Cricetulus griseus: one gene and its partner. The protein of the gene in region 1 purifies or fractionates together with the protein of each later gene. This does not show direct contact. Links are inferred from orthologs where the notes say so. Each region holds a gene or a part of one and is shown in the gene's direction. Other genes may lie near its edges.

The links.
Region 2: the proteins of Hdac4 (region 1) and Tbl1xr1 purify together in Homo sapiens (affinity purification with mass spectrometry; 3 studies listed by BioGRID and IntAct, with this or other methods). This does not show direct contact. The link is inferred for Cricetulus griseus from reciprocal best matches to the Homo sapiens genes HDAC4 and TBL1XR1.

Annotation. Positions count from the first base shown.
Region 1 is NC_048595.1:443,656,344-443,663,531, reverse strand, and holds the start of Hdac4 (histone deacetylase 4), read left to right. Parts: upstream 1-3,338; 5' UTR 3,339-3,353; coding exon 3,354-3,379; intron 3,380-6,713; exon of another isoform or gene 6,714-6,958; intron 6,959-7,188. UniProt on the Homo sapiens protein: Responsible for the deacetylation of lysine residues on the N-terminal part of the core histones (H2A, H2B, H3 and H4).
Region 2 is NW_023276806.1:126,265,233-126,271,680, reverse strand, and holds part of Tbl1xr1 (F-box-like/WD repeat-containing protein TBL1XR1), read left to right. Parts: intron 1-1,572; coding exon 1,573-1,718; intron 1,719-3,076; coding exon 3,077-3,299; intron 3,300-3,798; coding exon 3,799-3,955; intron 3,956-4,378; coding exon 4,379-4,520; intron 4,521-4,936; coding exon 4,937-5,000; intron 5,001-5,087; coding exon 5,088-5,185; intron 5,186-6,202; coding exon 6,203-6,263; intron 6,264-6,448. UniProt on the Homo sapiens protein: F-box-like protein involved in the recruitment of the ubiquitin/19S proteasome complex to nuclear receptor-regulated transcription units. Plays an essential role in transcription activation mediated by nuclear receptors.

The DNA of each region.
Region 1 (7,188 bases):
CTTGCAGTAGAGCATTCTACAATATGACCAACATCTGGAAGGTTTCCAGTTGTGGGTTATCACGGATAATGCTGCTATGTCCTTGTTTTTTAATTGCAATTTTTTTTTTAGTCTCATGTAGCCTCAAAGTCACGATGTAGCTGAGGGATGACTTTGAACTTCTGGTCGTCTTGCTTGTACCTTTCCAGTGCGGGGATTGTAGGATTGTACCATCACACCAGTTTATATAGTGTTGGAGATCAAGTCCGTGGCTGTGTTCACGATAGGCTAGCAGTCTGTCAACTGAGCCACATCCCCATTCCACTTGTCTGTCTTCATGGGCAGGGCTAGAGAACAGGTTGGGTCTGTCCTGGAATGGCTTTAGTGGGACACAGGGTTTGTGTGTGTTGTGTTATTTCCTACCACTCAGTTATTTGTTTCCTGGGTGCTTGGGTTCGTCATTCTCAAGGTTGAGTGTGAGAGCTCTGGTTTTTACCTTGTCCTCACTAATACTTGGTGCTTCTTTGCATAGAAATTTTAGATATTTTGATGAGTTAGTCTCACCCTGTTGTAGCTTTAGTTTTCATCTTCCTGTTGTCACAGATGTGGACACCTGTTTGTGTGTCGATTGACTGCTCATAAACTCTTTGTGAGACACTTGCTCTTACCATTCACCCATTCTCCCCCTCCCCCCATAAACTGGGGGTTGTAAACTCTTCGTATTTGTATGGATCACTTGTGCGTTTTTGGGTGTCAGTCTCTTGTTGAGTGTTCTGTGGCAGGCTGCTTTTCCTGCTGTTTGGCTGTCTTCTCTATTTTCTGAGTCTGGATAAATTGAAATTTTTCTTTTTCCTTTTTCGCTTTATGGTCCAAGGAGATTTCTCTAACTATATGAAAATACTGGTTTTTGTGGTCTTTTGGACTGGGTCTGTAACCCATCTCCTGTTTTCATGATGGGTTGCTAGGAGGTCATGCATGACCCAAGCATTATATTCAGAAAGACTGAAACCTTGGGATTTAGGGTGGGCTCTTAACTATTAACAGATGACCTTGCGTGTATTGGTTTCATTCTAGAATATTATGTTCTTTTCTTGTTTTTAATAAATCAATATAATATAATTGAGAATGTAAGTCTTCCAGGTCCTTCGTGTTTCTTCGTAAAATACAATATTGACATGTCAATTTACAAAAATCACAATTTTAATTTTTCTTTTTTGAGACAGGGTTTCTCTGTGTAACAGTCTTGGAACTTGCTTTGTATGCCAGGTTGCTACCACCACCCAACTTAATTTTAATTTTTATTGTGATTGCATAGACTACCAATTAATTGGGAATGTCAGTGTCTGCGCCATTGTTAGGTCTTTAAATCCATATACATAGAATATTGTTTTATTTAAATCTTTGAATTTTGCTTATTATATACTGACAATTTCCAATAAAGCTTTACATTTTTTGATGTATTTAGCCCTTGATATTTGCTGATAATCTGATGGTATCATAAATGTTTTCTCAGAGTTATTTTCTTTTTGTCCCTGGTGTATAGAAACACTTAAGTATATTGCCCATCTTACTTTACAACCTTATGTTAATGTAGACATTTTAATAGTTCTTGGTTGATTGTTCTGGGTTTTCTGTGCATATGTATACTGTGTATAGATGATGATATCACCCTTCCAGTTCTTTTTCGTGTCATATTGCTCTGGTGAGGGTCTCAGGAGATGGCGTTGTTTGGCAGAGGTGAGTGTGACACCTGCTGTGTTGTGTAGATGATCTGCGTTTGTTACTCTGCAGTCTTGTCATTTCTTGCTTGATGGTGTCACTAACTGACTGCTGCTACTCCACCAGCCACAGAGTGTGGTAAGGGACAGAACATGCCCTCTCTGCTCACACCTCTTTTTGGAGCGTCATAAAGATTTTTAAAAGAAATCCTCTTAAAGATTTATAGCTTCTAAGACTTGCTCATTGGAAGGGCTTTTACATCATATGAAGTCAAGCCAACTAGGATTTCAGAATTTCCAAGTTGCAGGTGTGAGGAACCCAGGTAAACTAGCACACGAAGCCATCATGCTACTTATTCTGTATAGAGCCCGAGGAGAAATGCAGCAAGAGATGTCTTTGTAGAAGTTTGTACCCAGTCTCAGACTGCAGTTAACAGGATGGCCAAGGTACCCATAAATCAAAGTTACTTACCTTCTCTCTGGCTCTTACAGACAGATCTTTTCATTTGTGTGGTGCCTGGAGCACCCTGGGCCAGCGGGCCTATATGCTAACTGTCTTCTGACCTACCTTGGTCTGTTTTCCCATACCTGTGATGAATGGCTTGGTTCATCGGTCTGCTCATTTCTAGTCATCTTTAGTCTTCTACTTCTGTATCCAGATTTTTTTTTTTTTTTTTTTTTTTTTTTTTTTTTTTTTTTTTTTTGTCTTTCTCTTAGGATCATGGGCCCTGGCCCAGCCTGGCTCTGAAATAGTCTGCGGTAGCACTAGGGACTGTCTTTTGGCCAAGAAGGAACTCCAGAGGCTGGTGTGTGATTTAATGGAAGGCAGGATTTCCAGCTCTAGAGATAGCACTCAGCCATCTTGTGCTATCATAGCAGCCTGTTCCAGACCCTACTAAATTCTTCTCTGACCAGGACCCCATAGGCTCTGCCTCTCTCACATGGAAGGTGACATCTTCTGAAAACCTTTTTTCTGGTAGCAGAGCTCTGAGTAGATGGCACTGAAGCTGATTTTCATCATGCTTTTGGCAGTGCATTAACAAACAACAATAAAAACCCAAGCCAACAAACTCATAATAGATTGTAGCTGCACCTACCTGCAAAAATTTACAGTTAGTTTTTGTGCATTCAGTGTGTGGAGAAGGAGATGTGGATGAAGCAAGAATGGCAGAGTGTTCATAATGATTGAAGTTGGTGTCTTGGGTTTGTTGTACTATTTGCTTTGCGTTGTGTTTGCATCAGGTTCCATAACGTGAAACCTTCCCTTCAGCAAGAGAGACCTATGCAGAAACCACAAGAAACTTAAATTTAAAATTACCTTTATAGATATTTTTTCTACTAAACTTGTATTTTATTTATTTATTTGCTTGCTTGTTTGTTTACAGGGTCTCACTATGTAGCTCAGGCTGGCCTGGAACTGGCTATGCGGACCAGACTGGCCTCTAACTCGCAGAGATCTATCTCCCTCTGCCTCCTATGTGCTGGGATTAAAGGTGAACACCACTAAGATCAGCCCATGTTTTTATTTCTTAGTCATCACATATGGAGATGATAAACAGTTTAGACCCATCAGAATGGAGAAACCCCAAATGGAACATACACCCTGGCATCAAAGCCTCTTTCTGCAGAAGCACAGCCCACGTCCTGAAGTGATGCATGGGCAGCTCTGGAAGAGTGCCTGGGTAAGGTTGGGTGAGCCTTGGAAGACCGAGGACAGAAGCAGTGTTGAGTGCCCAGTGCTGTCTCCTCATGAGCTTGTTTGTCATGTGTAGGGCTTTTGAAACTACTTATGAGTGTATAAGAACATAACCAATATATTGTATATTGTAGAAGCCAGGTTTCTCACTGTTAGAGAAAGGTGTTAAAAGTGAGGAAAGGGTGACTAGCAGAAATCTTGCAGTGGTTAGTTAGCTTGGGACCTAAGGCGTCAGTACTGAGTTGATGTAAACAAATGCTTAACAGAAAAGATGGAAAACATCAGGAAAGCATGAGCAGCTGATTTAATGGAGCTCCAGTAGACAGAGTCAAGTGAATAAGCCAGAGAAAGTTGATAACATTGGATTATTAGCATACTGCAAAGAAGAAATTTTCATCTGTCTTCATTAATGCAAGTGACCAAATGCAAAGATAAGGACCCCTCAGCGTTGAATTTGAACTAACATGTATAAGAGAAGGAAGCCAAGTGCCACCATCAGGCAAACACCCCCCCCCCCCCATGGCAACAGTTGCAGATGGGCCCTCTTGATGTATCTGAGATCCAGAAGATACCCCCTGTTATGTGTCTGTCCTTCCAAATAATTGACATTTAGGTCTTTCAAGGCTCTTGTTGATTTTATGTAAGTCCTTGGCATAAAGTTGTCTATGATGCTATCTTTTGTCCTTTTACTGTTTAGTCTGTAGTTCATCCCCTCTTCTTGATAGCATTTCATCATCGACTGCCTAAAGCTTTGCAATCACATTGATTTACCCCTTTCTTTCTCTCTTTGTTCCTGTACTGTACACTGCTCACTGTATAGTACAGTCTTGAGTTTGCTGTCTTCCTTCCTCAGCCTCCTGAATGACTGGGTTACAGGTGTCCCCCACTTTGCTTGGCCTTCTTCTTTCTTTCCATTTTTTTTTCATGCAATTGATTTCTACTCTTTGCTGTTGTCTCTTTGTTGTTTCTTTGGAGTTTGGTTTGCTCTTGTCTAATTTCTTGAAGTAAAGACTGCCATCACTGAATCAAGAGTGTCTTTTCTAACATGGGGATTCAGTGCTGGACATTTCATATTTTGATATCTTGTGTTGCTGTTTTCATTCATTGCAAAGTGCCTTCCAATTCTTCATTTGTGAAGTGTTTTGTTGTTGTTCATTTATTTTCCTTTTTTGTTGTTGTTGTTTATTTTGAGACAGGGTTCCGTGTAGCCCAGGCTGGTCTCAGACTCTGTGTAGTTGAGGATGGCCTTGAACTGCTGATTCTCTTGCCTCTACTTTCCAAATGCTGGGATCACAGGTGTGTGGCGAACTGAAATGTATTATTTAGTTTGCAAATACTTTGGGTTAAAGATACTTTTCTGTTGTTACTGATTTTTAAATTAATTCCAGTTTAGTAAGATAAGTTTATTTTATGTGACTTGAGTCCTTTTAAACTTAATGGTACTTGTTTTAATGGGCCTAAAGGTGTTCTGTTTCAGTGCTTGCTCTGTGTGTTAAGAAGGTGCTTCCACTGCTTTTGTATAGTGAGTGTTGTGTAAATGTCACTGAGTCACCTTGAGGGCTGTGTGTGTGTGTGTGTGTGTGTGTGTGTGTGTGTGTGTGTGTGAGTGTGTATGTGTGTGTGTGTGAGTGAGTGAGTGTGTGTGTGGTGAGTGTGTGTGTGTTTTCTAGTATTCTGCTAGTTTTCTGCCTGCTTTTGTGACAGTTCCTAAGAATAAGCATTGAGATCCTAGCTGTAATGGTCGATGTGCCCATTTCCTTCATGCTTTTCTTAGTTTTGTTTCTAGTGTAAAGTGTGGTTTTCATTTACTCCTCAGCTTACTGATCCTTCTGCCATTAGGAACTGGGCCTCTGCATCCTATGTGATAACTTGAGCCTAAAGTTTATTTTGTCTGATGCTAATGTCTCCTTCACAGATTGCTCTTGGTTAATGTTTGTTAGTTACTTTTGTCATTGTTGTGACCAAATACTTGACAGCTACAAGGGAGGGGAGATTTATGTTGGTTTATGATTTCAAGAGGGTAGGGAGGGTGTGGCCGAGCAGAACAGGTCAGGTCATGGTGGGCTAGGAAGCAGAAAGATTGGCTGCTGGTGTTAGACTAGCTCTTCCAGTTCCCTCTTTCATTTTCTGGGTCCCTCAGTCTGTGGGATGGTGCTTCCTATATCACGGTGGCTCTTAGTGCTTCTAGAAAGGCCCTCACAGACACACAGAGGGGTTTTCATCTCTTGGGGGTTTTCTAAGTAGAGTCAGTTGGGCAGTGGTGCTTAACCTGCACGGTTTGTGTGATAGATCTTTTCCTATCTTTAGTTTATTTGTGACTTCATAGCCAAGTTCAGCTCTATGAAGGAATGTATTGTGTAGCTTTGTCATCATTGCCATTGTGTGAATATTACACAGGCTAAGGTGACCACATTGTCACATGATGATCCTTTCTAATGTGACCACCCTGTGTTTGCTATATGCAGTCTGTTGTTGACTTGAATGTCATGTGGCATGTGTCTGTATTGAAAATGTGTTCGTGTAGGTTGCACATTGCTGGGCCTCTGTTGCTTAGGGAACACTGATGTTATATAAAATGAGTGACCTTCTGTCTCTAGGCCATTTCCAGTCCTACCTCATGGTGGTTCTTTCTACTTGGTACAAAAAAATTACTGTTTTTTATTAATATGTCTGACAAGCTCTGTCCCTTAGTGGAGTGTCTGGACAATTTGAGAAGGTCGCAGATACAGGTGAGAGTGGGCTCAGTTGTCCTTGATTCCCAAACTCAAAAGCATTGTCTCTTTATCCTCCTGTTTAAATTGTTGTTACTGTTTTTAAATCTTAAATTTCTGCATTTATTAGACTTTTTTGTTAGGACTATTTACTGTCTTTTTTGAACTGTGGTAATGTTTTCATTATACATTTTTGTAGTGTATTAGTTATGAACCTCATTCTTCTTTTAAGCCCTGTTATTTCTAGTGTTCACTTTTGCCAAGTTTGAGTTCTCCCAGAACAAACATATTGTGTCACAACAAAAACTCTTGGGTTCTCTTACAAGGGGCTTCTCTCCATCAGTGGAGCTTAGAGAGCTTGCTGGAAGCCTTGGGTGGGAGCTGTAACCCTGGCAAGGTAGGCTTGGGTGGTGCTCTGGTCTTGAGATGCTATTCTTTGAGGAAAAACCACAGTCCCCATCTGGGGCCTGTCAACAAGGTGTCCAGACTATTTAAGAGCACACCTCAGAACATGATTCCTGTCTTGGAAGAAAGTTTTTTGGAAGATTGGCTAGACATGTCTCAAGAAATGAGGGTGCATGGGGTAAGGGGTGGGGTGGTCAGAAAGAGAATTAGGCCAAATGAAGGTTTGCAAGGGAAGTAGTGGAGAGCATTGTTTAAAGTTTACTTAAATGGCATCCTGACCACAATGAAGAAAGCCGATACTGTGGAAGATGTCAGCAGTCACGTGCAGAATGTACCAGAGAGGCCACCCCGCCTGGGAGTGCAGAATAAACAGCAGATGCGTCTGAGGCAGGAGGGGTGGATCTGTGGAGAGAGTCCAGCAGCAGTATACAATCTCTCAAGAAGCCAGAGTGAGTTGAATAAAAATAATCAAGGGTGACTGAGCATTTTCCAGAGCAGGAAGATGGAAATGTATTCAAAGGGTCTTGCTGTGAGCAAAACGAATCAAGAGACACTTATCGGTACACCGTCTGACAGTATTTTTCGGTTTCCAGACTAAAGAAAAAGACATGGTAGCATTTAGGCAGAAGAAAATGACATTAGCAATACCCAGCCCTAAAGGTTATGTAGACAGAACTCT
Region 2 (6,448 bases), on another chromosome or scaffold:
CCACATTTGTTTCTGCCATCTTTGTGACTTCAGATAAAACACAAAACCTTTAATGTGCCTAAACACAAACTAGTCTGTGGGGGAAGTCATGAAGTTAAAACTAAAGTCTTAGAAAAATGACTGTCTCCCCCTCCCACCGTGGGCCATTAAGGAAGGCATGGCTAGCAGAAGTACAAGCTTCGAGGAGAACCCAGCCAGGTGTACTCTGTCCACCCACGAGCCTTTCCCAGCCACATGCTGTTTGGATGTGTACAGGCTTTAAACTTAGTAAACTGTGATGGGATTTCACAGAGAGCAGCCATCCTGTCTGTTACTGGAACTTCTCTTTGTTATCTGGACTAGACTTTCACTATAATATGAAGTTAATATAAAGAGACTGGCTATGTGAGTTTCATGCTTTGAAGTATTTTTTTAAATTATTTAACTTTTTGAGATGGCCTTTCCTTGTAGCCATCCCCTGGCTATCCTGGAAAATGTTGTGTAATGTGCCTCTGCTTCCTGAGTTTTGGGACTAATTTGTCAAAGGAGACCTACCTAGAAACTGGACTTTCATTTTATAGTTCTTTTCTTAAGTGCTTGTTTAGATGAGTTATTCCTAAATTATGAGTATTTTTTAAAACAATGGATATAAAATAATTTTATATAAAAAGTTCAAGTGTTATAATTTGGCTTTTTATTTCTTTTGGAGACAGTCTCACACAGTACAGGTTAGCAAAAGATAACCTTGAACTCTGATCTCCCTGCCTGCATCTCCTGCATGTTAGCAGTACTGGTGTGCACCATTGTCCACAGTTTTCTCAGTGCTGGCTTGGAGCCCAGGACTTCATGCATAACTAGGCAAGCACTGAGCCACATCTCCAGCCCAAGTCTGTTATCATTTTGCCTTTTTTTTTAATTATAGCTTGCATTTTATTCGCTAATTTTTTTAAGCTACAAAACAATGAAGGTGCTTGACAGTTTGTCTCTAAAATTTCAAATATACCACAGAAATAAGACCTGCCATATAAATCTTGATTTCTGTTTGTCTCATGAGGCAGTTTAGGTCCATTGTTTCTCAAGGCTTTTCAGTTTTTACATTTGATGCATTTTCTTCAGGAAAGCTGTGTTACTGTTAGAAATACTAGAGCCATTCGCTATGGTGGGATGCCTTGCTCCATCCTGATACAGGGGTGAGGGGCTTGGCCCTACCTCTACTTGGTAATCCAGACTTTGTTGACTCCCCAAGGAAGGCCTTACCCCCTCTGACAAGTGGGGGTTGGGAAGGAAGGAGGTGGGGAGAGGGGAAGGAGGGGGAACTGAGGTTGGTATGTAAAATGAAAAATAACTTTTTAAATTAAAAAAAGAGAAAAAGTACAAAAGAAAAACTGGAGCCAACTAACCTAGTAGATGCCAGAAAGTTACTAGCACTGCATTGATCATTGGTTTAAACTCATATTTTACTTTAGCTGTCCATTTACAATTTCAAGTGATGGCGTGTGATTATGAAAGATTATAAAGTTTTTTTTTCCCATTTGTAATTTAATGTGAAATTACTAAGAAAGTAAATTCTCAGGTCTTTTCTTTTGCTTTTAGGATTTTCTCATTCCGCGTTTACCTTTGGTATAGAGAGCCATATAAGTCAGTCCAATATAAATGGCGCCCTTGTCCCACCTGCTGCATTGATCTCCATCATCCAGAAAGGCCTACAGTATGTAGAGGCAGAAGTTAGCATAAATGAGGTAAGGCAGACGAGTTTCATTTCAGACACTGATTCTGATTCTTAAATGCATTTGTTTATTCAGTATCTGACTCGATTTCACTGTATTCAGACAAAATAAGGTCATCATTCTTAATGTACCAGTCAGGTTGTACTAGCTATGCATGTGGGCTTCGCTCCAGTGGCCTGAGTCTAGATTATTCCTTAAGGGAGGGGGTGGAGGGGGTGGGGAAGCTGTGTGTGTGTGTGTGTGTGTGTGTGTGTGTGTGTGTGTGTGTGTGTGTGTGTTTGTGCTTTAAGTAAGCACAAGGAAATAATTTTTAACAAATAATGAATTTTGCTTTATTGTACGGCAACAACTTGATGGCAAGCATTGGGAAATCCATTGTTTAGTGTCATGTACCCTGATTATTGAATCCAGGTATTTATAATGGATGCCCACTCTTGATGCTCAGAGCTGCATGTGTGAGGTTCATGTGTAAGTAGGGGGTTTGTTTCAGGTGTTGGCATGCTTCTGGGGCCTGATTCTGTAGATCAGCTTTGTAACTCAGGCAGACTCATTCACATTTGGACTGTCTGGGTGGATACTGGGAACATGAGGTGCTGTGACACGGATCTTAAATGCACACACTGCCTGCTCTTTCCTAGAAGTCTGCAGAACTTTGCTCTAGCTAGAAAGTTTAATGTATTTCCAGGACTCAGAACACGTTGAGGTGTTCCCTTTATTCTTTACTTGAAAAGTGAACACACTCCTCCCCTGCCCTTCCCCCCAAAAACATAAGTGGAAGGATTTTAGCTGTTTAAAGTGTCCATTCTCCTGTTGGTATCCTCAAGGATGGGTCCCTCATTGCCACAGTGAGCACCATCTACAGTGCTCTTGATTTACACCAAATGGTACACATCTAGATCACATATATGATGTGCTTGTTACCCTGTTATGTTTAAGGAAAATCTACAAGAAAAAGATCTGCCCCAGTTCAGTACAGGTGCATTTATTTTTTTTCCAAGGCCTGGATTCAGAGTACTGATGAGACACTGCCTCTTTGTTGTATGAGCTACTCTTATTGGTTGATGTTTTTTACTGACAGCCTTCATTACCTGAATTTGACATATTTCCATTTTATTATCTGTTTAAGAGCTTTTATGAGTGGCCTCTTGTATTGCATTTGTCTTTGTAGAGTTTAGCAGGATGTAAGTGAAGAGTAGAGGGCCATTTGCATCTGCCTCATTCAGGGTCATTCTTATTCTCTTCTCTCCTTCCTGCTCAAATTCAGAAAATTACCAGGTTTTCCTCAAAGTGAAGCTCTTCATTCTGTTAGTGGAATGCATGTCACCCTCAAGGCTACATCTCATTTTTCTTTCCGGGTTTTCCAATCTCAGGATGGCACCTTATTTGATGGTCGGCCCATTGAGTCTCTGTCGCTGATCGATGCTGTTATGCCCGATGTAGTCCAAACAAGACAACAAGCCTACAGAGACAAGCTTGCACAGCAACATGCAGCCGCCGCTGCAGCTGCCGCCGCAGCCACTAACCAGCAAGGATCTGCAAAAAATGGAGAGAATACAGCAAATGGGGAGGAGAATGGAGCACATACCATCACAAGTGAGCTAAGAATGTTTAGAGAGTCTCAGAAAACACTTGGCCTTACATAGACTGTCCCATCCTTAGAACTGAAATGATACCTCTATGCCCAACTTAGGTCACACAGCTCAGAGTTTATACTTAAGGTTCCAAAAAGCTAAATTCACTGTATATTCCTTTTTAGGTGTTTTTGAACCCTTTTTCTCTTAGAATTCCGAATCTGCCTTTGATTTTTAAGTAAAAGTTGGAATGTTCTCTCTTAAACATAAGTAAGGCTATGACATTGAGGAATAAAGATGACTCTCATGTTATATGAACGATATCAGCAACCCCTACTGGCAGAAACTCAGAATAATATTGTTATAGATGGTTTAATTCAGCCACATTATCATTCCAGCCATGCTGAGGTTCACTCCCTTTTCACTCCTCTTTCTCCCTTGCCTCCTTCCATATCCACATCTGTGTATATAGACCCTCACATGCTTAGGACTAGTACTAGAATTGTGATTACCTCTTACAGAGATTGTTGCTTCTCATGATGCAGATAATCACACTGACTTGATGGAAGTAGATGGGGATGTTGAAATCCCTCCCAACAAAGCAGTTGTGCTACGGGGCCATGAATCTGAGGTTTTCATCTGTGCCTGGAACCCTGTTAGTGATCTCCTGGCATCAGGGTAGGTTTTTCAAAGGATGTTGGGTATTTTGTTTGGTTTTAGACAGGATTTACTGTTTAGGGGAGGCTAGTTTTGAACTGTTGACCCTCCTGAGTCCTGAGATTAATAGGCCTGCTGCAACATACCCAGATCTACAGTGCCAATTAAGGCTACCTTACTGAATGGACTGTTGCATATTTTGTATGTATTTCACTTTCCAGGTGCTTGTTGCCTGCTTCTGGTCATGTTACCTTAGTAAATTGATATTTCCTGTGAAGTAACTTTAGAATTTCTTGGTAGGAGCTCTAAAATGTAGAATAAGAAAAATATTGGGAATGTTTATGCCTGGTAGTCTGCTTCTTACTCAGATGCTAAATGTATGGCCTGAGTTTTGGAATGCTGGAGAATGTCATGAGGACTTAAACCTATTTTTGAACTTTGAAGGTCTGGAGACTCCACAGCAAGAATATGGAATCTTAGTGAAAACAGCACGAATGGTCCCACACAGCTGGTGCTTAGGCATTGCATACGGGAAGGAGGACAGGACGTTCCCAGCAACAAGGATGTCACTTCTCTAGATTGGAATGTGAGTGTCCCTTGCTTTAGTGGTTTGTGAATGAAGGCATTTGAGGATTTGGCTGTACAGTCAACCTGGCTCCAAATTCCTAAGTCCTGATCAGAATTTTACTTTTTACTTCTTATAAAACCATTTTCGTGGTGGTGTTTTGATGTCCTTTTAGTCTGCAACCTACCTCCATCCTCATTCATGGGTGTCTATGAAAATATTCTGCAGAGGGTTATTGTCAGTCCTACTCCACAGCGGTTATGACCAGTGCTCAGATTTGGGGTGGGCCTTTCAAGAGCATTGACTTCATCAGGGAAAGGGGTTTTGCCGGCCTTTGGTGGCACTCACACAGAGATGAGATTCCTTTGTGCCTGGACATATTCATAGTAATTAAGTAGCCTTAATTGTGTAATGAACAAAATTTATTTCTCTGGCAGAGTGAAGGTACACTTCTAGCAACTGGGTCATATGATGGATTTGCCAGAATATGGACTAAAGATGGTATGTATTTTTCTAACTTTATTGATGTTCTATGTTATAAAGTTTGAAGTAATTTTAAAGTTTTTTTTTGTTGTTGTTGTTGTTTAGGTAATCTTGCCAGCACCTTAGGGCAGCATAAAGGCCCTATATTTGCATTAAAATGGAATAAGAAAGGAAATTTCATCCTAAGTGCTGGAGTAGATAAGGTAAATGATTATTTACCTAACCTGTATAACACTATATTTGAAAGTAATTTTTTTCTTTTCTGATAATCATTTAAACTTCAGTGCATTCAAGTATGGATTTTTGACAGTAATAGAAATAATTTCTTGTTGTCCGCTTGTTTTCCTTAATCTACTCATCATATCTTTTGTTTATAAGCATTCTTCATTTTTGCTGGAATTTGAACCTAATGAATGTTATCATTCAGCACTTTGTGCTTTGCCAGTTTATCTCAGTGGTGGCTGTAACTCTGGAGTGACTCCGTGGGCCATCCATGTCTTCCTGTGCTCTGTGAAGTAAATAGAGACTGGTTGGAACTGGCTCCTCCTCCTCTAGGCCCCCTCTACCACACTTCCCTAAATAATAAAAGGTTTAAGACTTTTTTTGTTCCAGCAAAGAACAGGCTATTAATCATTTGGGTGGTGTTGGGAAGGGGACATAAACTGGCTTAGATTCATAGTTCTGATGAGTAGTTTTCACAGACTGATGAAGGTATCTGGGGAGGAGAAGAGCCAGTACTGTCTTTCTCATAAGCAGCTTCAGGACCTGCCTTAAATGGTATCAAAAATGGAAACATCTATTTTTCTTTCTTTTTTGTCCATGTAAGCTTCAGGAAAGGAGAAATGTTTCAGTATTCCGGGATAGGTGATTTCACTACAACCTTCTAACTTCAGAGCTGTAAAAATGCATATTGAACACACCATTGCAGTGGAACCTGTTACACAGTCTAATATAATGCCAGGCACTTTGTTGACAAACAATAGTTGTTACTAGAAATAAGTTGGTGAAAAATTGCCACAAAAAAGTTAAACTACGTCATGGTCATTTCCCCTGACCTACCTGAGTGTGAATGATGCCCTTGTGCTGTGAGGAATAAAAACATTGAAGATGAAGTTCACTGTCGAGTTTCATTCTGCCTTAATGCAGTCAGGCATCCATTCTTGCATTCACATACTCTTTAACGTCAGAGAAATTAATTTTTCTTTTCCTTTTAATCTCAGACTACCATTATTTGGGATGCACACACTGGTGAAGCCAAGCAGCAGTTTCCTTTCCATTCAGGTAAATCTTGACAATACACATGGAAGCTGAAGCTCTCTTCTGTTTCTCTAATTAGAGTGTTGGCCTCATGGAATTCGTTCAGGACCTTGACTGTCAGACAGCATTCTTGGTACCAGTCCTCTCAGGAGGTGTTCCACAGCTTTCAGATAGTTCTTTTTGGAGGATCAGCAGGTTTTCTGTGAAAT